4 linked regions of the Arabidopsis thaliana genome follow. The protein of the gene in region 4 interacts with the protein of the main gene of each other region in a pairwise test. Each region holds a gene or a part of one and is shown on either strand. Other genes may lie near its edges. The genes, in order: ATERDJ2A, AT3G57220, CPK26 and AT2G38510.

Region 1 (6,698 bases), on a different chromosome or scaffold from region 4:
ATTATACAACTAACTTTGTATGCGTTAATGATAAACAACAATAATAATTCTAAACTATTTGAAAAATATTATTAGCTAGTAAATGATTTCTGAGTTGGATTTTTTCGAGATAATGTCACTGTTTACTGGCATTTCAATCCTACTGTTGCAAACCTTATTTTGTGAAATATTCTTAGTGTGGACAAAAATCTTGGATCGTAATCATCTAGTACAGTACTTTCTAATCGTCAATTAGATTGAAGAACTATATTAAATGTTTACATATATTTTTGGTATCACTTGCTTCTTTATTTGCATCTTTCCTACCTGATCTTAAGTTTACTCGGTTTAAAACTACTGTATATAGCAAACTTGCAATGACATGCAATATGCTATGATTGTTTTCTTTTGTTATAAATGTTAATATCATATATAAAATGAAAGAAATGTATTACAAAAGAGCATTAACCTAATCACCAGATTGCGAAAACCTTTTAGATGTCTTCTTGAAGATATGGTATTGCAAATTTCACGGTCAAAATTCTTGAAAATGATCGAAGAAAGCAGTGACTGTGAATTATGTAAGACATTATTTACTTGTTTTCAAATGTGGTAAACTCCACCGTGTGCTGCCATTTTTTTGAGAGTGGAAGGAACATTTGGTGAACGAGTTTTTGTCCAAGAGAGAAGCTCAAACTATGTGGAAGGCATATGCGTGTGCTGCCAGTTTCTTGAGAGTGGTAGGAACATTTGGTGAACGAGTTTTTGTCCAAGAGAAAAGCTCAAACCATGTGGAAAGCATATTCGTGTGCTGCCAGTTTCTTGAGAGTGGTAAGAACATTTGGTGAACAAAAGCTCAAACTATGTGGAAGGCATATGATGCGAGAAATGCTTAACCGAGAAAAAAATTAGCCTCCAAATCTCACAAGCAAAATCTCAAGTTAATAAGCATTTTAGCAGTGGTGTCTATGTACAACAATATCATAATATGAAAGCCAGTAATAAAATTTAAATGGTATGAAAAACGATAATAGCTATATAATAACATTTTCTTTGTTTTTAATATCTATATTTTGTTTTAGTTATATATAATATTAACATGTCAACAAAGTTTTCAAATAACTGATTATTTAATATAATCAAAACAAGTAAAATTATACGATATTTGGCTAGATTTAAAACGACTATTTTAGTGAATCGAATAACCAAATCATACCAAACTCATTCAAAATCATTATTAGCTTTCGTTACAGTAGATAAAAAAGTATTGGTAACCATGCTCTTATAAATTTAATTGAATTAGACAGTTTATGATTAAATCGATAATAATAACGAAGATTGATGTATTTTGCAAGTAGAACAATTTATTTCTGGTCGAAATATAAATAGTTACAACAAAACAGTTTTCTTAAAATCATTAAATATTTGTTTTGTTTAAATCTCTATTTTGTTGTAACTATTTACAATCTCTAGATCACATTAAATCTCTAGAACATATAAGAGATTTGTTGCAATCCCTATTACAATATCTGGATCACATTAAATCTCTAGAGCATATAATCCCTCTTTGATCCATATCCTTTTCTCTTTTTCCTTTCTAATTTATAAAAAATGTGATTTTTTTTGGGAAATTCGTTTTCGTTCACCATAAAAACTTTGCTATTAATAATTACTCTAATTTAATGGAAAATAAATAACTCGTAAAAATGTAAAGAGAGAAATGAATTGCGAAATATTTTAATTGAGAAGGTAAAGAAAAGTGAATAAGCAAGTAAAGAAGAAAGAACTCACCAATCAGAAATCAGAAATTAGAAGAGAAGAGAAGCATAAAGAAAAAAAAACTGCAACGCCGTTTGTTGCCGATCTGCAGCAGCGCGATCTCTCTGATTATAGAGAGCTATCATCCTAGGTGAGCTTCTTCTTCGATTTCCTCTTCTACAATATCCTTTCAAGTTCGATTTCATCTTCTTTCACCAATTATTGGTTTTGCTTCCTTCCCGTAGTTTCGTTTGTTTGTTTTCTAAGGTTTTGTGTCGATCTCAAAGTGAGTCCAGGGATTCATATACCTTTAGACTAGATTAGCCGAGATCTATTAGTGTTGATCTCCGTCATGTAGAATCCCTAATTAATTTCAGTGGCCTCAGATCCAGCTTTTCATGTTATTGATAATTTTGTATCCTTGAAGCTTTTTGGATGTTGTGAGATTATAACAGAGCTTTTCCTTTCAGCAGAATAGAATCTCTCAGTTTAAAGGCTCCAAAGATGGCGGCGTCAGAAGAGAATAGCGCATTGTTTCCCATTTTTATCTTGACGATTATGGCAATTCCTTTGGTGCCTTACACCATGGTCAAGTTAAGCGGTGCTCTCTCCAAGAAACAAAGGACCATTCATTGTCAGTGTCTCGAGTGTGACCGTTCTGGAAAATATAAGAGATCCTTGTTTAAAAAGGTTACTTTCCACTCAACCTCCTGCTCTGTAATAGATTATTGCATGTTCCTAACCTCTTCTTCACTTATCTATCTGCAGATCTCTAACTTCTCTACGTGGAGCAACTTGACACTTGTGCTACTCTGGGTCGTGATGATTTTCTTGATTTATTACACTAAGAACATGAGCCGTGAGGTAATCCCATTGCTTGCTGTTGAACTTGAATGCACCGCTGACTTATATCAACTAATTCTACTTGCTTATTTACCTTCTTTTGTGTTACAGGCTCAAGTTTTTGACCCATTCAGTATACTTGGACTGGAACCTGGAGTTACAGATTCAGAAATAAAGAAAGCATATAGAAGGCTGTCGATTCAATACCATCCTGATAAAAATCCAGATCCAGGTCAAGTTTTTCCCCTTGTTATTTTTTTTTTCCCTTTTGATCATTACGGAATTATGGTTGCAGCTTTTGATCCTGATAGTTTTTTCTTCTATGCGCATTTGTTGATCTCTACAGAAGCCAATAAATATTTTGTGGAGTTCATATCTAAAGCATACCAGGCTTTGACTGATTCAGTATCCCGTGAAAACTTTGAGAAGTATGGTCATCCAGATGGCAGACAGGTAAGGATACATCTCCTTTCCCTTCGCATGTGCTCCCGTCTTATTGACAAGCCTATTGAGACTAAAATATTGTTATGTGATCGCAGGGATTTCAAATGGGCATTGCTCTTCCTCAATTTCTTCTAGACATTGATGGAGCATCTGGTGGCATATTATTGCTTTGGATAGTTGGTGTCTGTATTCTCTTGCCCCTTGTGATTGCTGTTATATATCTCTCGAGGTCATCAAAGTATACTGGGAACTACGTTATGCATCAAACACTCTCCGCATATTATTATCTAATGAAACCCTCTCTGGCCCCAAGGTATATTCACTCATACCCATATACATTCAAGTGATGCTATTGGTGCATGACAAATGGGCTGTGTTTTCGTTTGTTTGTATGACATGTTTTAAAATTTTTATTGTCCAGCAAAGTTATGGAAGTTTTCACCAAGGCAGCTGAGTACATGGAGATTCCAGTTCGTAGAACTGATGATGAACCTCTGCAGAAGCTCTTTATGTCTGTTAGGAGTGAACTAAATTTGGACCTGAAGAACATGAAGCAAGAGCAAGCTAAGTTTTGGAAACAGCATCCTGCCATAGTGAAGGTGAATTTTAAAATTATGCAACTGTAATGCTAAATATTGGATAAACTGAAATACTCACTTCCTCAATTTCTGTACAGACCGAGCTGTTGATACAAGCCCAGTTAACTCGTGAATCAGGAGTCCTGTCTCCAGCCCTTCAGGGTGATTTCAGGCGTGTGCTAGAGCTTGCACCTCGCCTCCTTGAGGAGTTATTGAAGGTCTAGTCTCTATTTAAATAACACAATTTCTGATAAAATAACCATCAAAAAGCGATGACCGCAAAGTGCTAACCTAGAAGATATGTATTTTCCTTTAGAGGAACTCGAAACAGACTCTTAAAAGACTTAGAAATTTAGGTTAATAGTGATGCTTTTGGTTACACTGTTAAATTGTGGTTTTCTTAACCATTCTTTCATTATAACATTGTGAGTTTCTTGCAGATGGCGGTTATACCACGCACTGCCCAAGGGCATGGATGGCTGAGGCCTGCAGTTGGAGTAGTTGAGCTATCTCAGTGCATTGTTCAGGTCTTAAATTGCTCTCATCGCCTATCTTCTAGTTTTTATTTGTTTGTGAGCTTTCAGTTCTTTATGTCTCTTTTCTCCACAAGATTTACTTCTTCCTGAAAGTTTAAGAAGTGCTTAGTGTTGTTGTCTAGGAACATAAACTAAAAATCCAAAATCGCAGGCTGTTCCTCTTAGTGCAAGGAAGTCTTCTGGAGTATCATCAGAAGGCATTTCCCCTTTCTTACAGCTCCCTCATTTCAGTGATGCCGTTGTCAAAAAGATAGCACGGAAGGTATACTACTATCAAATGTGTCAAGTGCAGTACTAATATCTAGTTCCATATCATGTGCATTTTTCTCTCACTTTTTGATTCCTGAGAATCTTGTTGGATTCTGTTCTCCAAATAAGTAGTAGTGGTTCTTTAGGTTGGTTTACTTAAAGGTCTAGTCTAAAGACATATATAAACCTCCATTTTATGTTAACATGTCATTGTTTCTCCTATTTTCAGAAGGTTAAATCATTCCAAGATCTTCAAGAAATGAGGTTGGAAGACCGTTCTGAACTACTTACTCAGGTAGCGGGTTTATCAGCAACTGATGTTGAGGACATTGAGAAGGTGCTAGAAATGATGCCGTCTATTACAGTCGACATCACATGTGAAACAGAAGGGGAAGAGGGGATCCAAGAGGGAGACATTGTGACCCTTCAAGCTTGGGTCACCCTGAAACGACCCAATGGGCTTGTAGGCGCTCTTCCTCATGCACCCTACTTCCCCTTCCACAAGGAGGAAAACTATTGGGTTCTTCTGGCTGATTCAGTGTCGAACAACGTTTGGTTCTCTCAGAAGGTTAGCTTCCTGGATGAAGGTGGAGCGATAACGGCTGCATCAAAAGCCATCAGTGAGTCAATGGAAGGTTCGGGTGCAGGGGTGAAGGAAACAAACGATGCAGTGAGAGAAGCGATTGAGAAGGTTAAAGGAGGGTCAAGGCTGGTCATGGGTAAACTCCAAGCACCGGCAGAGGGAACATACAACTTGACTTGCTTCTGCCTGTGTGACACATGGATCGGGTGTGACAAAAAGCAAGCACTGAAAGTGAAAGTCCTGAAAAGAACCAGGGCAGGGACACGTGGGTTGGTTTCAGATGAGGGTGCGATTGCAGAAGAAGGTATGGAGGAGGAAGATGAGATTGAGGAGGAGGATTACGATGATGATTACGAAAGTGAGTACAGTGAAGATGAGGATGAGAAGAAAGATATGGATGAGAAGAGAGGGTCGAAGAAGGCCAATGGGAGTGTGAAACAGAAGAAAGAGTCGAGTTCTGAAGAGTCGGGATCGGAGGAAGAGTGAAACAGAAATGAGATTTTACATTGATAAACAAAACAAAAAATACAATACTTTTGTCCTGGAATCTTGACGGAAACTTCTTTTTCACAGTTTTGATATTCTCTCATTGGCTCCCTTCTCTTTCTTTCTCTCTGTATCACTTTTCTTCAGAGACACACATACAAGCAAAACGCGACTAAGGAGAAAATCGTACTAACTCGGACAAATTTTGGTACACAGCATTACAAAACAAAACAAAACTTTTTAACTCCCCCAAATAGTTTAGGGTTTAGGGTTTATTGGGGGCCCCAATACAGACCATCAGGTATCAGGTAATGGGCCTTGTTAATAAAGTAGTGGGTTATAATGGGCTTTACGGTTGTTTCAAGAAGTGGAAGCCCTACAAGGCGGGAAAATCAGAAGAGGCGCGTCTGCTTCCGTCTTCTTCTTCGTCTTCTCCGGAGAGGTTTTGTGGTGTTATCGGCGGAATCCGACCCGAAAATGCCAAATTACAGCATCAGAGGAATCAATGTTGAATTCCCATTCGAGGCGTACCAGTCTCAGATCATATACATGGACAGAGTCATCGAGTCTCTTCAAAACGTGGGTTTCCCTCTCCCTCTCTCTCTCTCTCTTTTTTACACACCAACTCTCTTCAACTGTTTTGTTGATGATGATATTCGCGTGATGATACTCTCTCTCTCTCTCTCTATTCTGTTGTTTATTTTGCTTTCCCCAATTCTATATCGCTTTTTAGGGTTCTTCCCCGTTCACACTGACCATTTGGGTTCTTAAATTAACGCTGAATTAGTTGTTAACTAATCTTGTTTATAACTTGTGATGATGATGCAGAAATGTCATGCGCTTTTGGAGAGTCCTACGGGAACTGGGAAAACTCTTTGTCTTCTCTGTGCCACCTTAGCCTGGCGAAAGAGTCTGGGCTCTTTCTCAACCCGTAAGGATCGGAAGAACAGTGCCATTCCTTGGTCCGATTCAGACGAGCCTCTGTCACAATCCGGAGGAGGAGGAGGAGGAGCTTTTCCCACCATAGTTTATGCGTCCCGGACTCATAGTCAGCTCCGCCAAGTGATCAAAGAATTAAAAAGAAGTAGCTACAGGTCGGACACACCACAAATTCTGTTTCTGCCTTATAGCTACCTGCTCATCATCTCTTCTCAATCAATTTTGTAGGCCTAAGATGGTGGTGCTTGGATCACGGGAGCAGTTATGCGTTAATGAGGAAGTCAACTCCCTCCGTGGCAAAGC
Region 2 (5,589 bases), on a different chromosome or scaffold from region 4:
AGCAATAATTTAGAAGAGAGTACTTAAGTCAAATTAGTAGCAACCAGGCATTGACAAGTACTGATAAGGTTGTGGACCATAACAACCAATAAGAACAACTTAAAAGAACTTATACATGTTGGACGTATGATTTAGTAGTTACTGCATTGTTTAAACTTTTCTTGTTAAAATCTTTCTTACACTTTGATACAAAAGAAAAAGATGGTCATATTCTTAAATACTTTATAGTTTGTGCCTTTTTCATGTGATACATAACTCTGAAATCTAAAATAAATTCTTATTACATACAGAAACTATTCAAGGTGGAGACATTTAGGAAACCGTACAACACACAGAAACCAGTCCACTTAACATTTTACCAAATTAATAAGTTTAATAATATCATCTCTAATCCAAATTTTGAACCGCCATGGTTTTTGTAAGCCTTGCGCCGTCAAAGTTTAGATATCCGCCATGGTTTGGGAATGCTGAAACGCCGTAAGAGAAGTTTCACGCTCAGACTCGTACCCTTTTTGGGTATACTTTCGGATGGCTGATTCTATGGATCTTGTTTTGCGAAGACGATGAGCCAAGCCAACGCCATGGTTTGTGCGCCGCCGCCGCCATATCTGCCGTGATTTGTGAATTAAACGCTGGGACAGAAGTTTGCTACTCGTAGCCTTCTTTTTGGGTATGATATCTGAGCTTTGATTCCAACCGTCGAGACTAAAGCATCCCGTAGTCTCATTGAAGGTTTCTTCTAACTACAGCTATGCGATCAAGGTTCTGACCACAGCGAGCCTTACAAAAGTCAATGTACCTTATGTAGACAGTTGCATTCTTAGCAGTGAGAGAGGACTCACTGGGTGGCTCCATAGTTTGAATGGCTACTGACACAATCCTCAAGCCGGAAAGATCATGATCCGTGGTGGTCCTATCAGATATGGCAACAGAAAGTTCCAGATACAGACGAATCCAGTCATTGGCTCGCAGCTCTGATTCATCATCCACCACGTAAAATCGGTTTCTGTTTTCGAAAGGGTTCTCCAGCGGGAACTCAGGCAAGCTACCCATGCGGTAGAATTCTCTTTCCAACGACGTTTTAATGATTGTCCCTAAAATATACAATGATGAATGAAATACTAGTTGTTGTAATAATAATAATGATGTGTTAATGAACACGCCTACCCAAGTAAGGAGTCACATGTAGTATAATAATAATTTAATTACCTGGACGACGTCTTTCAGCAATAAAGGAGGTCAAAACAAGCCGGCCACAAGCTTCTTCATAAACGGAAGTCTGAAAAGTAAAACGCCTTCCACTAGATGGCTGCATTGCAACCAAAGTAATGTAGAAACAGCAAGCACCAGCAGCCAGAGTCCTGTTGTATCTCTTAACGTGAGAGAGCTTTAAGTTTGTCCCCTGATAAATCAAAAACGAAATTTGAATAAAAAGAAGAGCAAGAGTGGATAAAGAAAGAGAAGAAAGGAAGACAAGAGTCTTACACTTTGATTAAAAAAAAGATAGTATAGTTAGTAATTGCCTAATTAATTTCACAAAGAGAGATGATAATCAAAGAAGTTAAATAAGTCTATGGGATGCATTCTTAATAGTAATCTTGTTAACTTCTTTCTTACATTATGAGTCTTTGATTATATAAAAAAAAAAGATATTAGTAATTTGCCTAATTTCACATGAATCCCATAGACTTATTTATTTCTTTATACTTTGCTTTTTTGGGCCTTTTTGATAATTCATAAATAAGTGGTGTTGATACGATGTCGTATTGTTGTGCGTGGGCAAGTTGTAATTAAATGCTACAGGCTTTGAAGCTTCAGCGAAAAGTGGAAGAAGCAAATCCAGAGGCGGGGAACCAGAAATAGCCAACGGATCCGCCATGACTGCTCGTAAGAGAACTCCTTCAGTGTCCAATTCGGAGAAACTAGCTCTACCTGAACCTGCATCTTCCCCGACGGTTCAGAAGACCTCTGTTTCCGGAGAGGATTTCCAGCTCGCGCCGCCGAAATTGGGCGTGATTTTCGTGATCTCTTCGCTTCTGTGTTCGCTTTATCTTTACCTTCTCTGTTTCCACTACAATGTTGACAATGAGCTCAAGCGTCCGATCCTCATTAACGCTGGGCTTAGCTTGGTTGGATTCTTTGTCACACTCAAGTTGATTCCTGTAGCTGCTAGATACGTTCTGAGGCGTAATATGTTTGGTTTTGATATCAACAAAAGAGGCACTCCTCAAGGAGAAGTTAGAGTGTATGTTTTTCCTTCTTAGATTTGTCTTTGTTTAGTTCTCAGATTAGTGTTCAGCGTTTTTCTAGAAATGGATGTCTCTTAGATTTGATTTTTTGTATAGGAGGAAAACTATGAGATGTCTCATTTTCTGATTGATGTTCTATGGATGTTTACGCTTGATTTGATCTCAGGGGACTTAAAGTCTTTTGATGTGCTTATTTTCAGCAATCTTATTTCTTTGTAGGCCTGAGTCATTGGGAATTGTTGTCGGTATTGTCTTCTTGATAGTGGCGATTGTATTTCAGTTCTTTAATTTCACTGAAGATTCGGTGGTAAGTGTCCTGGTCTCAAAAGCTCAAGCTTGATCATTTATTTATTGTGAACTATGAACTTGGTAGCTCTTGGCTCATTTACTTTGAATGCAATTTATCAATCTGGCTAAATGACTCGGTGCAGTGGCTTGTGGAGTATAATGCAGCACTGGCGTCTATTTGCTTCATGATATTGCTTGGATTTGTAGATGACGTCCTTGATGTGCCTTGGAGAGTGTAGGTGCAGTTCTCATTTTGTTGGATTAAAAATTCATGATTTAGTTTTGTTTTCTTATTAACTCTTGTCAATTTGCAGGAAACTTCTCTTGCCATCTTTTGCAACCCTTCCACTGTTGATGGCTTATGCTGGACATACAACTATCGTCATACCGAAACCTTTAGTTTCTTATATTGGCTTGGAAGTGTTTGATCTAGGTACAATTCATCTTGTATATAGTGTTAAACCATCAATAGCTATTTTGAAATTCATTTCCTTAGTTGTATATTTATCGTGGCAGGACGTATATATAAGTTATATATGGCGCTACTGGCTGTCTTTTGCACAAATTCTATTAACATTCACGCTGGTTTGAATGGCCTTGAAATCGGTCAAACCGTAGTTATTGCAGCTGCTGTAAGTTCTGCTGTCAAAATGCGTCGCAATGCTTCATTTTTTTGGTCCCATTTTTCCTTCTGTTGGTTTCTCGTAAGTAAAGTTATGATAAATCTCAGTAACTTGTAGATTCTGATACACAACGTTATGCAAATCGGAGCATCTGTTGATACTGAGTATCATCAAGCTCATGCCTTCTCAATCTATCTTACTCAGCCATTGATGGCAACATCCTTGGCAATGCTTGCCTACAATTGGTAATCTTTGGATCTTTCAAGTCATTTTCTCTTAAATCAATCAGGTAAACTAGCAAAGCAGAATGCTTTCTCTAACCACGTTCATGTCCCCTCTTTGGTGATGTTAGGTACCCTTCTGCAGTTTTTGTTGGAGACACTTACACAGTCTTTGCTGGAATGACTATGGCAGTTGTTGGCATTCTCGGTCACTTCAGGTATACTTCTAACCATACCGTCCTTATTGCAATGTACTTAGATTCATCATTTACATTTAACTTATGTGTGAGCCTTCAATTAACTAACTACTTATGAAACTTTGCTTTTTGCAGTGAAACCCTGTTAATCTTTTTTCTTCCTCAAGTGTTGAACTTTTTACTGTCACTTCCGCAGGTTTGATACCTTTCTCCATCTCACACTTTCTGTTACTTTTCAATACATTTGAAAGCATCTAACTTGCTATTGTATAACTCTTCAGCTTGCTGGCATTGTCAAATGTCCACGACATCGTCTCCCCAAGTAAGCTATTTTTTGTCCATTTTTCATAAGAGGCAAAGCCAACAAGTAAACAACACATGACTCTTCCTCTCTCTTTTTTAAACCAGGTATGATCCTGCTACGGGACTGTTAACAGGAACAAAAGATGGGACACTCGTGAACGTCTACTTGAGGATTTTTGGTAGGAAAACAGAAAAGTCTCTATGTATTCATCTTCTTGTTTTCCAGGTAAACTTGTTAATGCCCATATTATCATCTCTAAATACAAGTTGGTTTATTCTGAGAGAGAGAAATCACAAGATTGGTGTTTTGTGTGTTCTATTGCAGGCTCTTGCTTGCGCATTTTGTTTCATGCTTAGGCATTTTCTAGCTGGTTGGTACAAATAAATCTCTGCAACATGAAGAAACTCTAAACCTGTTCCTCTTTTCATCTCTCTCTCTGCCTTCACAAATCATACAAACACAGAACTTGTTTTGCTTCATGTCCAACAATCTACTAGAATCATCGTTTTAGTTCACTTATATAGAGAGTTTTCATCTAAAGGCGAGTGTATCTCAACAATATAAAGCCAATGAAATGAATCAGAACAAATTTGTCTTGGAATTTAAATTTAACTACAAATGCTGATCTTATTTTGATAACTTTGATTAATAAACTAAATAATTTTTAGATTAAAGTTTTGCTAATATAGCATGCATTAAATGAAGTGTCCATTTACATATATTTTTGAATTTTAAAAATGCGCTTTTAATATTAGACAGACTACTGTCGTACTAGAATAATAAAGAATGTAATAAAAAAATAGAAGGAGAATCGGAAAAGAAACCCACTTATAGAATGCCATGTGTCAAAACATAACAAGCGAAGTATGTTTATATAGTAAGAAAACTCTTTTGCCCTAAATATCCCAAATTGTCATATGTTCTTTCCTTATGTGGCTCTCTCTTCTCTTTCTCTTTCTCTTTCCTTTTTCTCTTTCGATCAACAAAACCACATCTCTGAACTGAACCAATTTCTCTTCTCCCCCTTCCGGTTATCGGATTACCAGATCTCGTTTCCCGCGATCTAGTTTATTCTTTGAAAAAGGTAAATGTTCAATTTTTTTATTTTATTCAAAATCTCCCCTGGATTCAGGAGATGATGATTTGAAATTGACGATGATGTTTGTGTGTAAAAGTGATAGAAGCAGAAATGGGAAGGGGCAAGATCGCGATTAAGAGGATCAATAACTCTACGAGCCGTCAGGTTACGTTCTCGAAGCGAAGGAATGGATTGTTGAAGAAAGCTAAGGAGCTTGCGATTCTCTGCGATGCTGAGGTTGGTGTCATCATCTTCTCCAGCACCGGTAGGCTCTACGATTTCTCCAGCTCCAGGTACCTTTTTTCTTTTCTCTTTGGTTGACTTTTTTTTTGGGTCTTGGTCCATCTAATTGGTTGATTGATTGATGTAGCAAATTCTAAATCTCGATTTTTTTTTTTCTTTCTTAAGTCGATTTCTTGTTAATTGTTTGCAAATTCAATTGCTTTAGAGAAGGAATCGTAGATCAACTTAGTCTGATAATTTGCAGAAGAAATCACTTGGTTTGAATGATAATATGTTTTGTAAGGGGAATATGAGAGTGTGTTCTCTGTGTTGTTGGAGATGATTACGATATTTGTGTGGAACATAGATTGTGAGGGACTTGTGGTGTTTATTGAAACATACTAAAT
Region 3 (5,686 bases), on a different chromosome or scaffold from region 4:
GGGCTGTCTTTACCTTGTGGAGTATTGCTTAAGAGAGGTTATCTTGTCTCTTTAACAGATGATATGGAAATTGCTCCAGACTTCTTTGATTACTTTGAGGCTGCAGCTAGTCTCATGGATAGGGATAAGTATGTTACCTACTGAAGCTAGACTCTTATAGTATAAGTTTCCACAGAGTATACAAATGTTTTTATTACTGTTTCTCATTCTTTTCTGGTCCAAACATGTGTTAGAACCATTATGGCTGCTTCATCATGGAATGATAATGGACAGAAGCAGTTTGTGCATGATCCCTGTAAGATTCTTCTTCTTCTTCTTCTTTACCTTGCTTCCTCTCTTGCCTGTTCTTTCAATACCTCATTATGTCTAGCTCATGCGAGCTAAAATAATCTGCAGATGCGCTATACCGATCAGATTTTTTTCCTGGCCTTGGGTGGATGCTCAAGAGATCGACTTGGGATGAGTTATCACCAAAGTGGCCAAAGGCATATCCTTATATGCTTTTTTTTCTTTCAATCTCGATGACTATAGTTTGACGCTTCTTAAATTCTAAAAAAAAAAATAGTTTGACGTTTCTAAGACTTTTCTTAACAAATATCCACTTACTGGGATGATTGGCTGAGACTAAAGGAAAACCATAAAGGCCGCCAATTCATTCGACCGGAAGTCTGTAGAACATACAATTTTGGTGAACATGTTAGTACCCGATTATGCTATCCTATATATCATAGTTTTACAAGTCTGTTTTTGTAATGCTGTTAAATTGACCTATGTTCGCTGCATATGACTTCTGCTTTCTGTATGAAAAATGTATTATTGCAGCTTCGTCCTATAGTTTCCCGACACATGGATGTAGACAGTCAATACCACATAATATATTTTTGCATTTCATACTTATCCATAACCTTGTTATATTAATTTGGCAGGGGTCTAGTTTGGGACAGTTTTTCAGTCAGTATCTGGAACCTATAAAGCTAAACGATGTGACGGTAAGCGTAAGTGTGTTTTTTACCCCCTTTTGTTGCATCACTAGTTTTCACTGGTTTCCTATTTCATTCATAAAGGTTGACTGGAAAGCAAAGGACCTGGGATACCTGACAGAGGTAACATTTACAGAACTCCGGCCTTTTTTTTTTATACCATTTTGCATGTTTTGAGTGGAGAAATGTAGTTTTTAACCTGTTCTCTCATGTCTATCAAAGGGAAACTATACCAAGTACTTTTCTGGCTTAGTGAGACAAGCACGACCAATTCAAGGTTCTGACCTTGTCTTAAAGGCTCAAAACATAAAGGATGATGTTCGTATCCGGTATAAAGACCAAGTAGAGTTTGAACGCATTGCAGGGGAATTTGGTATATTTGAAGAATGGAAGGTAAATTTGAGATGATTGAACTATAATCTTCAATAATTGTAGGTCCAAATGGGTCACTTTTTTTGTACCCCTTTGATTGTGTAGGATGGTGTGCCTCGAACAGCATATAAAGGAGTAGTGGTGTTTCGAATCCAGACAACAAGACGTGTATTCCTGGTTGGGCCAGATTCTGTAATGCAGCTTGGAATTCGAAATTCCTGATGCAAAACATGTACTTCTCCAACCAGCATCATTTACATCTTAACCATTGCTTACAGTTCTGTGCTAACCGGGTTTCACAAGCAGATGAAAGGAAAAGAAGATTTTGGACCGCATGCAGCCTCCTTCTAGCAGCTGTTAGGTTGTATTGTTATTTATGGATGAGTTTGTCGAGCGGTGGGGTTAACTTTAACAGCAAGGAAGCTCTGGTGACCTGGCTGATTGGCTTAGAAGTTATGGGAACCCCTTGAAAGGGTCAGGGTTAAATATATTTCAGTTGTTTTATTAGTGATTATCTTGTGGGTAACTTATACGAATGCAAATCATTCTATGCAGTTTTTCTTCGTCCCACTTGTTTTGGCTTCTCTATTGCTAGTGTACATATCTCTTCAAACATGTACTAAATAATGCGTGTTGCTTCAAAGAAGTAACTTTTATTACATCTTTGGCGAGTAGCCAATCAAGGCACTCGACCCATCTTCTCTGGTATAACCCGTCAACTAGAATCTGAGGCCATGGGATCATTAAAGGTTTGTTCCGATGCGACCAATTGGAGGTCTTGATTTGTCTCATGTGAAGTAGGCCTAAGAAAAGAGCCTTGTGGAGTTCCCCTGCATTTTTAGAATATTCTAATTAAAGAGACAGATCTGTTGATGACTATTAATCAAAGATATCTTCTTCTTTTGTTATTTTTAGTCAGGATGTGGAGACGTTGGCGAGAATATTGCAAAACCATGTTCAACAATGTGTATCATCGGATCTGCACCAATCTGACTTAATTTTCATCCATTCTTATCATCTTTGTCTGGTACACATCCATCTCTTCCTCTAATTCCCCTGTTTTGATGTCTCTCCTTATTATTGCGATTTCTTTATGCTAAATTCGTATAATGTTTCAGATCTTGCTATGGGACTTGCTCTGTTTTCCTCTGATGGCAAACTAATTTGGAAGGGGAGGTGAACTAACTTGGTAAGGGATTTGTTTGATGGGCAATTCTTTACAAGCCAAACCACTTCTAATACATTTTGTCTTTCAACGATTTGTTTCAGCACACAAACTGGCAAAAGACGCCCCCAGGAAGAAGCCACAATGAAGCACAGCGGTGGGAACCAAGCCTGCTATGTTCTTGGTCAAAAGACCCCAAGCATCCGAGATCTCTACTCGTTGGGACACAAACTAGGTCAAGGACAGTTTGGGACGACTTACATGTGCAAAGAGATCTCAACAGGGCGTGAATACGCATGCAAGTCTATAACAAAACGAAAGTTGATATCAAAGGAAGATGTGGAAGACGTACGCAGGGAAATTCAAATCATGCACCATCTGGCTGGCTACAAGAACATTGTCACCATTAAAGGTGCTTACGAGGATCCATTGTATGTTCACATCGTGATGGAGCTTTGCTCAGGTGGGGAATTGTTTGACAGAATTATCCAGAGAGGACATTACAGCGAGAGAAAAGCAGCTGAGCTGATAAAGATCATCGTTGGTGTTGTTGAGGCTTGCCATTCGCTTGGTGTCATGCATAGAGATCTAAAGCCCGAAAATTTCTTGTTGGTTAACAAGGACGACGACTTCTCTCTCAAAGCCATTGATTTTGGGCTTTCCGTGTTCTTCAAACCAGGTGATAACATCAGCTGCATCATTTGCAACATCTTCAGTCAGAATTTCACACTTGCTACATCATCTGCAACTTTCAGGTCAAATATTCGAGGATGTGGTTGGAAGTCCGTATTATGTTGCTCCTGAGGTTCTGCTCAAGCACTACGGACCCGAGGCTGATGTGTGGACCGCAGGGGTCATACTGTACATATTGGTGAGCGGAGTCCCTCCGTTCTGGGCAGGTATGCACCCAAATGAAACAACTGTGATTAGGCTTCCAAGGTAAAAGATTCTTAAATATTTGTTTTGCTTCAACTCCAGAAACACAGCAAGGGATATTTGATGCAGTGCTGAAGGGACATATTGACTTTGACTCCGACCCTTGGCCCCTAATATCCGACTCTGCAAAAAACTTGATCCGTGGCATGCTATGTTCCCGGCCCTCTGAGCGACTGACAGCTCATCAAGTATTGCGTAAGTCTAACCAGTTGCTCCTATTTCAGGTCCTGAATTAGTGTATCTGCTAGCTTATTTAGAATTTTGCAGGCCATCCTTGGATCTGTGAAAATGGAGTTGCGCCAGACAGAGCACTAGATCCTGCTGTGCTTTCTCGTCTTAAACAGTTCTCTGCGATGAATAAACTAAAGCAGATGGCTTTACGGGTAAGCCCCCGGCCGCAAGCCTTTTGGCCTTTATTGTGAACAATTTTCCATAAATGTCTTCTGCTGTGATTCAGGTAATAGCTGAGAGTCTCTCGGAGGAAGAAATTGCTGGACTGAAGGAAATGTTCAAAGCAATGGACACGGATAACAGTGGAGCGATTACGTTTGACGAGCTGAAAGCCGGGTTGCGAAGATATGGTTCAACCCTCAAGGATACTGAGATTCGTGACCTTATGGAGGCTGTAAGCACTTTGCTCTGATCTGATCTGTGTGAGTACCTGCTTGAAATCAGTATGTTTAGTATTAATCTGTGACTGTGATTTACCAGGCAGATATTGACAAGAGTGGGACCATAGATTATGGTGAATTCATTGCTGCAACAATCCATCTGAACAAATTAGAGCGTGAAGAACATCTTCTGTCAGCCTTCAGGTACTTTGACAAAGATGGGAGCGGTTACATCACTATCGATGAGCTACAGCACGCATGTGCTGAACAGGGAATGAGTGATGTCTTTCTAGAAGATGTGATCAAGGAAGTCGACCAAGACAATGTGAGTGACTTATGCATACATATCCTCTGGCTTGGAGAGTACATGGTCAAAGGCCAGGGATCATTTTTTTCTTCTTGTTTCAGGATGGAAGGATTGACTACGGGGAGTTTGTAGCTATGATGCAGAAAGGCATTGTTGGAAGAACAATGAGGAAAAGCATAAACATGAGCATCAGGAACAATGCCGTCTCGCAGTGAGAAGCAAGCAATCTCACGATTATGTACAGGTTAAGCCTTTCTCACTTTTTCAAGGTAAATTCCATCAAATTCTTTCCCAAACTGACAAGTCTATACATCGGTGTACGTGAAACAGTCGTTTTTGATAGAGCTGAACGAAGATATGCAAAAGCTACAAAGCTCTGCAGAAATATGGTTCCCATGGTCTGGATCCTTCCCGGTAAAGATTGAATCAACAAAGGCTCTGCATTCTAAAACGAACTGATATGTATTATTAACAGATAAACTGAATCAAACATCAGTATAGGAAGTCATATGAGATTATTGTAATTTGACTTATGTGCACACATCCTACAAAGAAAATTATAAGAATGATCTGTGGAGATTTAAACGATTATTGATCATACATCTGATAGAGCAGTCTCTCTCCCCATTGTTACCTCCTGCGCAAAGTAAAAGAGATAGAATAATGACCACAAGTTGCAAGGAGAAGAGTATGTAGTTGTCAACAAAGAAGATTATTGGTTACCTTTAGCTTAGAATCGCTAGAGAAGACGCAGCTGGATGTGATAGCATGGCCTGGCTCAAAGACCCATCCTACTGAAAATACTCTTTCGCGGTCTTTGCCTTGTTGGAGTGAGCACCACAGCTCTTGCGGAAGCAATAAAAGATCATTTTCTTCTCTCACAATCTCAATCACCTTCTCGCCAGTAACTTGTTGTATACAACCCTGAACATACTCACAAAATAAACAAACTTACGGCAATCATCGAATGGAAGTACACACTTGAATACACAGTGTAAGGACGCCAACTCACGAAATCAGAGGCGTGAAAGCTAGTGGTAGCAAGTAGAACTCTCCAAGAACCGGTAACCACTGAAGCTGCAGTGGTAGGTGTAGCAGCAAAGCCGGAGCTACGGATGGCACAGCCTCCAAGCTGATCGCCATCTCTGAACGGACCGTACCACTGCTCACAGAAAACTTTGACACTCTGCAAGGACATGTTGGTGGTCTCTGCTAAGCTGACAACCTGGAAAATCCTCACACGAGACTCCTTGTCCTTTGGATTGATCAGACAATGCTCCACCTCAAGCTGGTTGTTCCGCAAAGGCCACACAGC
Region 4 (4,395 bases):
TTCAGTCTAAGAGACTGACTATGTGGAATTTTTTATTAATACAAAAACTCAACTGGCTACATATATAAACGAAGAAACAGATGTTCCCAATAAAAAAAACTTTAAAAAAAAAAAAAAAAAAATAGTTCAAAAAAATAAGGAAAAGACGAGTAAATATGAAATTAATTAGAGTGGACGACTAAGGAAGCGTACATAAATACGAGGGGAACTTAAGACATTCTTCTTCTCTCTCACTGTCTCTCTCACACACACAAACTCGTAGCTAGCTTCTATGGCAACCCTTTTTTCGTAGTCACCAACATATAAATCTCTTTGATATAAGTGAAGAAGTGTGATATATAGTATATAGTATATACAAATATATATGAGCATGTGCAGGTCTAACATGGAAAGCAGTGAATCTGGAGAGATTATAAATGGAGAATGCGATGTTTCAACATCCGTCAAAGGAGAAAATAGCGGCAGCGCCAAATTCTCTGCTGGTCTCCGTCGCATCCCTTTCAATGAGGCTTGTTTCTTTTTCTTTAATTTCTCTTTTCTTGTTCTTACATTTTCTTCAACAAAAAAATTCCAATTAGCTTTGACAAGTCATCACTCTGCTTATTCTTTGATTTCATAGTTTTCTTGTGTTTTTGTTTGTACTACTAGTTTTCGTGATCAGGACCATCCTAATATAGAGACGTTTGCTACGTTTAACCAGAGAATTTGGTGATTTTTGATGGATTATTATATTGTTTTCAGTCACTTTCGCAGTATTTTTTGGGTCTGGTAAATAATATGTAGTTCTTGGAAATTGATCTTATACTGGATTGAATGCTTCTTTTGACTGTTTTTATAGCATTTTAACCGAATATAATGCATCCCTTTTAAAAACATAGCATGAATAATGCTTCATCTATCTTTCACGTACTTGAGAAATACAATGTTGAAAATTCATTTATATATAAGTTTTCTCTGTATATATATATATATATATATATGTGTATATATGTTCATATTTATGCCTAAAGCGTTACTACTTACTACTAGTATGATAAATCCTCACTTTCATGGACTGAAAGAGATGCTTTTTGTGTTGTACTTACTTTATATTTCTTGACAGTTGGGTTGTACTTACTTAGGAAAGTGTTCTATATAGGTTTCCTCTCACTCTATTCTTTTTATCAGTTTCTTTACTTAGTACAAATATAATCTAGTTACTTTCCGATTTATTTTCTTGAAATCCTTATCCGATTGTTTATGAAATGTCAATAGTAGTTCATGATACTTTTACAAGTATCTATGCGTAAAATATTTTTTATATGTTTTTAAAATGTGGATATTCTTAATGAAGATATCATGAAATGAAAGGTAATATCTAAGCTGATTTTGTTTTTTCAAAAAGAAAACAAAAAAGGTGAGCTTTTAAAAACCCATGATGATTTTTATTTAAAAAGATCCTAGAATGTTGGTACAGTTAGCCATTCGCTTTTCTGGCACTTGTGAATTTGATTATATATTCAGTTCTAAAAGTTATAGAGTTTAAACCTTTTTCTCTTCCTTTTTCAACTTTCTCATCCCAGTCCCAGTGGCCATGTGATGCGACCATCTTCCTCGTGCTTACAAATTGTTCTTAATTTTATAATATGATAAAATATCATTTTCCGTATTGTAATGTAATGTCCTTCTGTTTCACAATAAAATTAATTTAAGATTTTATTTGACAAAAAGAAACAATTAAGGTACAATGATTTTTTTAATAACTCATGTATAAAAAGCTCATATAAATACCATTTTCATACAACTTATTAGAAAAGAAATTTGTTTGTTTATTGTGATAAAAATATTAATAAATGATATACCAGAAAATTTAATATTTTTAGTGAGTGCAATATCGTTAATTAAACGAAATTAAATCACGTACAAAATATTAAACATGATTAAAAAAGGATATTAAAGACTAAATCATATTTTGAGGATAATTTTTTTTTTTTTAATATACAACATACTCGTGTTGCGCTCTTTCTATACACTAATATCTTCTCGAGTGCGTTTTGCTAGAACTAGAAGCCTATAGAACATGTGAAAAAATAAAGAGTTGTTCAATTGAAAAACCTAACAAAAATAACATAATTTTTTAATTTTATTTTTCCCATGCAGGTGGGAGAGGAGATGGCGTCACTCACAAAAATAGCTTGCCCGATTGTGATGACATCACTCCTCATATTCTCAAGATCAATAATCTCAATGTGGTTCTTGAGTCATCTCGGAAAAGTCGAACTCGCTGGTGGTGCACTCGCTATGGGCTTTGGAAACATCACTGGAGTCTCCGTACTTAAAGGCCTTTCCGTTGGTATGGACCCAATCTGTGGCCAAGCCTTCGGAGCCAAACGTTGGACCGTACTTAGCCACACGTTTCAGAAAATGTTCTGTCTCTTAATTGTCGTCTCTGTTCCAATCGCCGTTACGTGGCTCAACATCGAACCCATTTTCCTACGGTTGGGTCAGGACCCAGATATTACCAAGGTAGCCAAAACCTATATGCTCTTCTTCGTCCCTGAGCTCTTGGCTCAGGCCATGCTCCATCCGCTTCGAACGTTCCTTAGAACGCAAGGCTTAACATCACCGCTCACGATATCTGCCATTGTATCCATTCTTCTTCATCCTCTCTTCAACTACGTCTTTGTCGTGCGTATGCGTTTAGGCGTTAAGGGTGTGGCCATCGCAATGGCTTTCAACACTATGAATATCGACGTGGGACTGCTCGTTTATACGTGCTTCTCGGATTCTCTAATCAAACCGTGGGAAGGGCTCGCTTTGCGGTCACTTTTCCGCGGCTGGTGGCCGCTGCTTTCTCTAGCCGCACCAAGCGCTATCTCGGTGTGTTTGGAGTATTGGTGGTATGAGATCATGCTTTTTCTTTGTGGGCTTCTTGGGAACCCTAAAGCAAGCGTGGCCGCCATGGGAATATTGATTCAGACCACCGGGATACTATACGTAGTCCCGTTTGCTATTAGCAGCGCCATTGCAACCCGTGTAGGTCACGCTCTTGGAGGCGGCCAACCAACACGGGCACAATGTACGACCGTGATTGGCTTGATACTCGCGGTAGCGTACGGTTTAGCAGCTGCTGTTTTTGTGACCGCGCTTAGGTCGGTTTGGGGAAAGATGTTCACGGACGAACCGGAGATTCTCGGGCTTATTTCGGCTGCGCTTCCGATCTTGGGGCTTTGCGAGATTGGAAACTCGCCACAGACGGCTGCTTGCGGAGTCTTGACTGGGACGGCTAGGCCTAAAGATGGAGCACGCGTTAACCTATGCGCATTCTACATTGTGGGCTTGCCTGTGGCAGTTACGACCACGTTTGGGTTTAAGGTTGGGTTTCGTGGGCTATGGTTTGGACTGTTATCTGCGCAGATGACGTGTTTGGTAATGATGCTTTATACGTTAATCCGTACGGACTGGTCTCATCAAGTGAAGCGGGCAGAGGAACTTACCTCCGCTGCAGCCGACAAAAGCCATTCGGAAGACGAAACCGTCCATGCTGAAGTACAAGACGATGATGATGTGAGTAGCAATGATCTGGAGATTGGTTTACTACAAAATACGAATTGACTAGTTTAGCTAGAAATGTTAAAATTATCAATCGACAATTTTTAACGGATTGTTAATGATATAGGAAACTTTTTTTTTTTGGCAAACTAAAAATACCGAAGATAGATTTGTGTCCGAACTGTTAACTAAGATTTTGTGAAAAGACTCAGCCATTTAATTGGTTGAGCTTAGCTTTTTCTAACACGCAGAAGTATGTAGTGAGAACAGTTGTGACGAATCTATCAAGGATCAATCAAGATCAATCACAATTCTACTTATGTAAACTATATATTCTGTAATTAGAAGTCTCTAGAACATCTAGTCTGTATATAAACAATGTAAATCATCTCAATACAAATCATCCAATTCTATATTCTTTATATGGTATCAGAGCATCATCGATACCTAAAAATAAAAAACCTAAAAACAGCCGCCTCTCTCCTTTCTTTCTTCTTCTCCCCCGTTGATTTTTTTATTCCTCTGTTTTTCAAACTTCAACCATGTCGAATGTTTCTTCTGAAACCGTCAACCTCAACAACACCTCCATTGTTCACATGAACATGTCGAATGTGACAAAACTTACGGCCTCCAATTACATAATGTGGAGCCGCCAAGTCCACGCTCTCCTTCACGGCTACGGTCTCACTCAATACCTTGATGCGACAAAAGCTGCTCCAGCTCGTGAGATTACCGTCAACGACGTTGCCTCTGTGAATCCTGAGTATGAAGCCTGGAGTAGACAAGATCAATTGATCTTCAGTGCTCTCATCGGCACTCTCTCTCTCACCGTCCAACCAACGGTGTCCCGCGCCGCTACCTCTG

Evidence for each region.
Region 1: the proteins of AT2G38510 (region 4) and ATERDJ2A interact in a protein complementation assay, tested with the Arabidopsis thaliana proteins (one large-scale study listed by BioGRID).
Region 2: the proteins of AT2G38510 (region 4) and AT3G57220 interact in a protein complementation assay, tested with the Arabidopsis thaliana proteins (one large-scale study listed by BioGRID).
Region 3: the proteins of AT2G38510 (region 4) and CPK26 interact in a protein complementation assay, tested with the Arabidopsis thaliana proteins (one large-scale study listed by BioGRID).

Annotation. Positions count from the first base shown.
Region 1 is NC_003070.9:30,067,782-30,074,479, forward strand, and holds ATERDJ2A (DnaJ / Sec63 Brl domains-containing protein), read left to right. Parts: upstream 1-1,737; 5' UTR 1,738-1,888; exon of another isoform or gene 1,889-1,931; intron 1,932-2,207; exon of another isoform or gene 2,208-2,210; 5' UTR 2,211-2,241; coding exon 2,242-2,427; intron 2,428-2,505; coding exon 2,506-2,601; intron 2,602-2,691; coding exon 2,692-2,812; intron 2,813-2,926; coding exon 2,927-3,033; intron 3,034-3,119; coding exon 3,120-3,337; intron 3,338-3,445; coding exon 3,446-3,623; intron 3,624-3,700; coding exon 3,701-3,820; intron 3,821-4,042; coding exon 4,043-4,129; intron 4,130-4,289; coding exon 4,290-4,400; intron 4,401-4,616; coding exon 4,617-5,456; 3' UTR 5,457-5,659; downstream 5,660-6,698. Other genes in the region: AT1G79950 (RAD3-like DNA-binding helicase protein), read left to right, coding at 5,799-6,035, 6,285-6,550, 6,624-6,698. UniProt on the Arabidopsis thaliana protein: Required for integral membrane and secreted preprotein translocation across the endoplasmic reticulum membrane.
Region 2 is NC_003074.8:21,172,639-21,178,227, forward strand, and holds AT3G57220 (Glycosyl transferase family 4 protein), read left to right. Parts: upstream 1-1,756; 5' UTR 1,757-1,877; coding exon 1,878-2,245; intron 2,246-2,468; coding exon 2,469-2,556; intron 2,557-2,680; coding exon 2,681-2,772; intron 2,773-2,851; coding exon 2,852-2,970; intron 2,971-3,053; coding exon 3,054-3,169; intron 3,170-3,277; coding exon 3,278-3,405; intron 3,406-3,512; coding exon 3,513-3,599; intron 3,600-3,713; coding exon 3,714-3,774; intron 3,775-3,859; coding exon 3,860-3,900; intron 3,901-3,986; coding exon 3,987-4,107; intron 4,108-4,206; coding exon 4,207-4,266; 3' UTR 4,267-4,556; downstream 4,557-5,589. Other genes in the region: AT3G57210 (uncharacterized protein), read right to left, coding at 724-1,094, 1,210-1,315; AGL16 (AGAMOUS-like 16), read left to right, coding at 5,072-5,253.
Region 3 is NC_003075.7:17,927,894-17,933,579, reverse strand, and holds CPK26 (calcium-dependent protein kinase 26), read left to right. Parts: upstream 1-2,077; 5' UTR 2,078-2,379; intron 2,380-2,397; exon of another isoform or gene 2,398-2,470; 5' UTR 2,471-2,478; coding exon 2,479-2,528; exon of another isoform or gene 2,529-2,541; intron 2,542-2,621; coding exon 2,622-3,196; intron 3,197-3,272; coding exon 3,273-3,416; intron 3,417-3,495; coding exon 3,496-3,648; intron 3,649-3,720; coding exon 3,721-3,836; intron 3,837-3,910; coding exon 3,911-4,078; intron 4,079-4,164; coding exon 4,165-4,389; intron 4,390-4,472; coding exon 4,473-4,586; 3' UTR 4,587-4,615; intron 4,616-4,678; exon of another isoform or gene 4,679-4,701; 3' UTR 4,702-4,763; downstream 4,764-5,686. Other genes in the region: CGL1 (alpha-1,3-mannosyl-glycoprotein beta-1,2-N-acetylglucosaminyltransferase), read left to right, coding at 59-128, 234-295, 397-487, 603-696, 927-989, 1,065-1,103, 1,203-1,373, 1,458-1,574; AT4G38225 (glycerol kinase), read right to left, coding at 4,798-4,809, 4,973-5,008, 5,095-5,295, 5,384-5,686. UniProt on the Arabidopsis thaliana protein: May play a role in signal transduction pathways that involve calcium as a second messenger.
Region 4 is NC_003071.7:16,121,852-16,126,246, forward strand, and holds AT2G38510 (MATE efflux family protein), read left to right. Parts: upstream 1-2,133; coding exon 2,134-3,594; 3' UTR 3,595-3,684; downstream 3,685-4,395.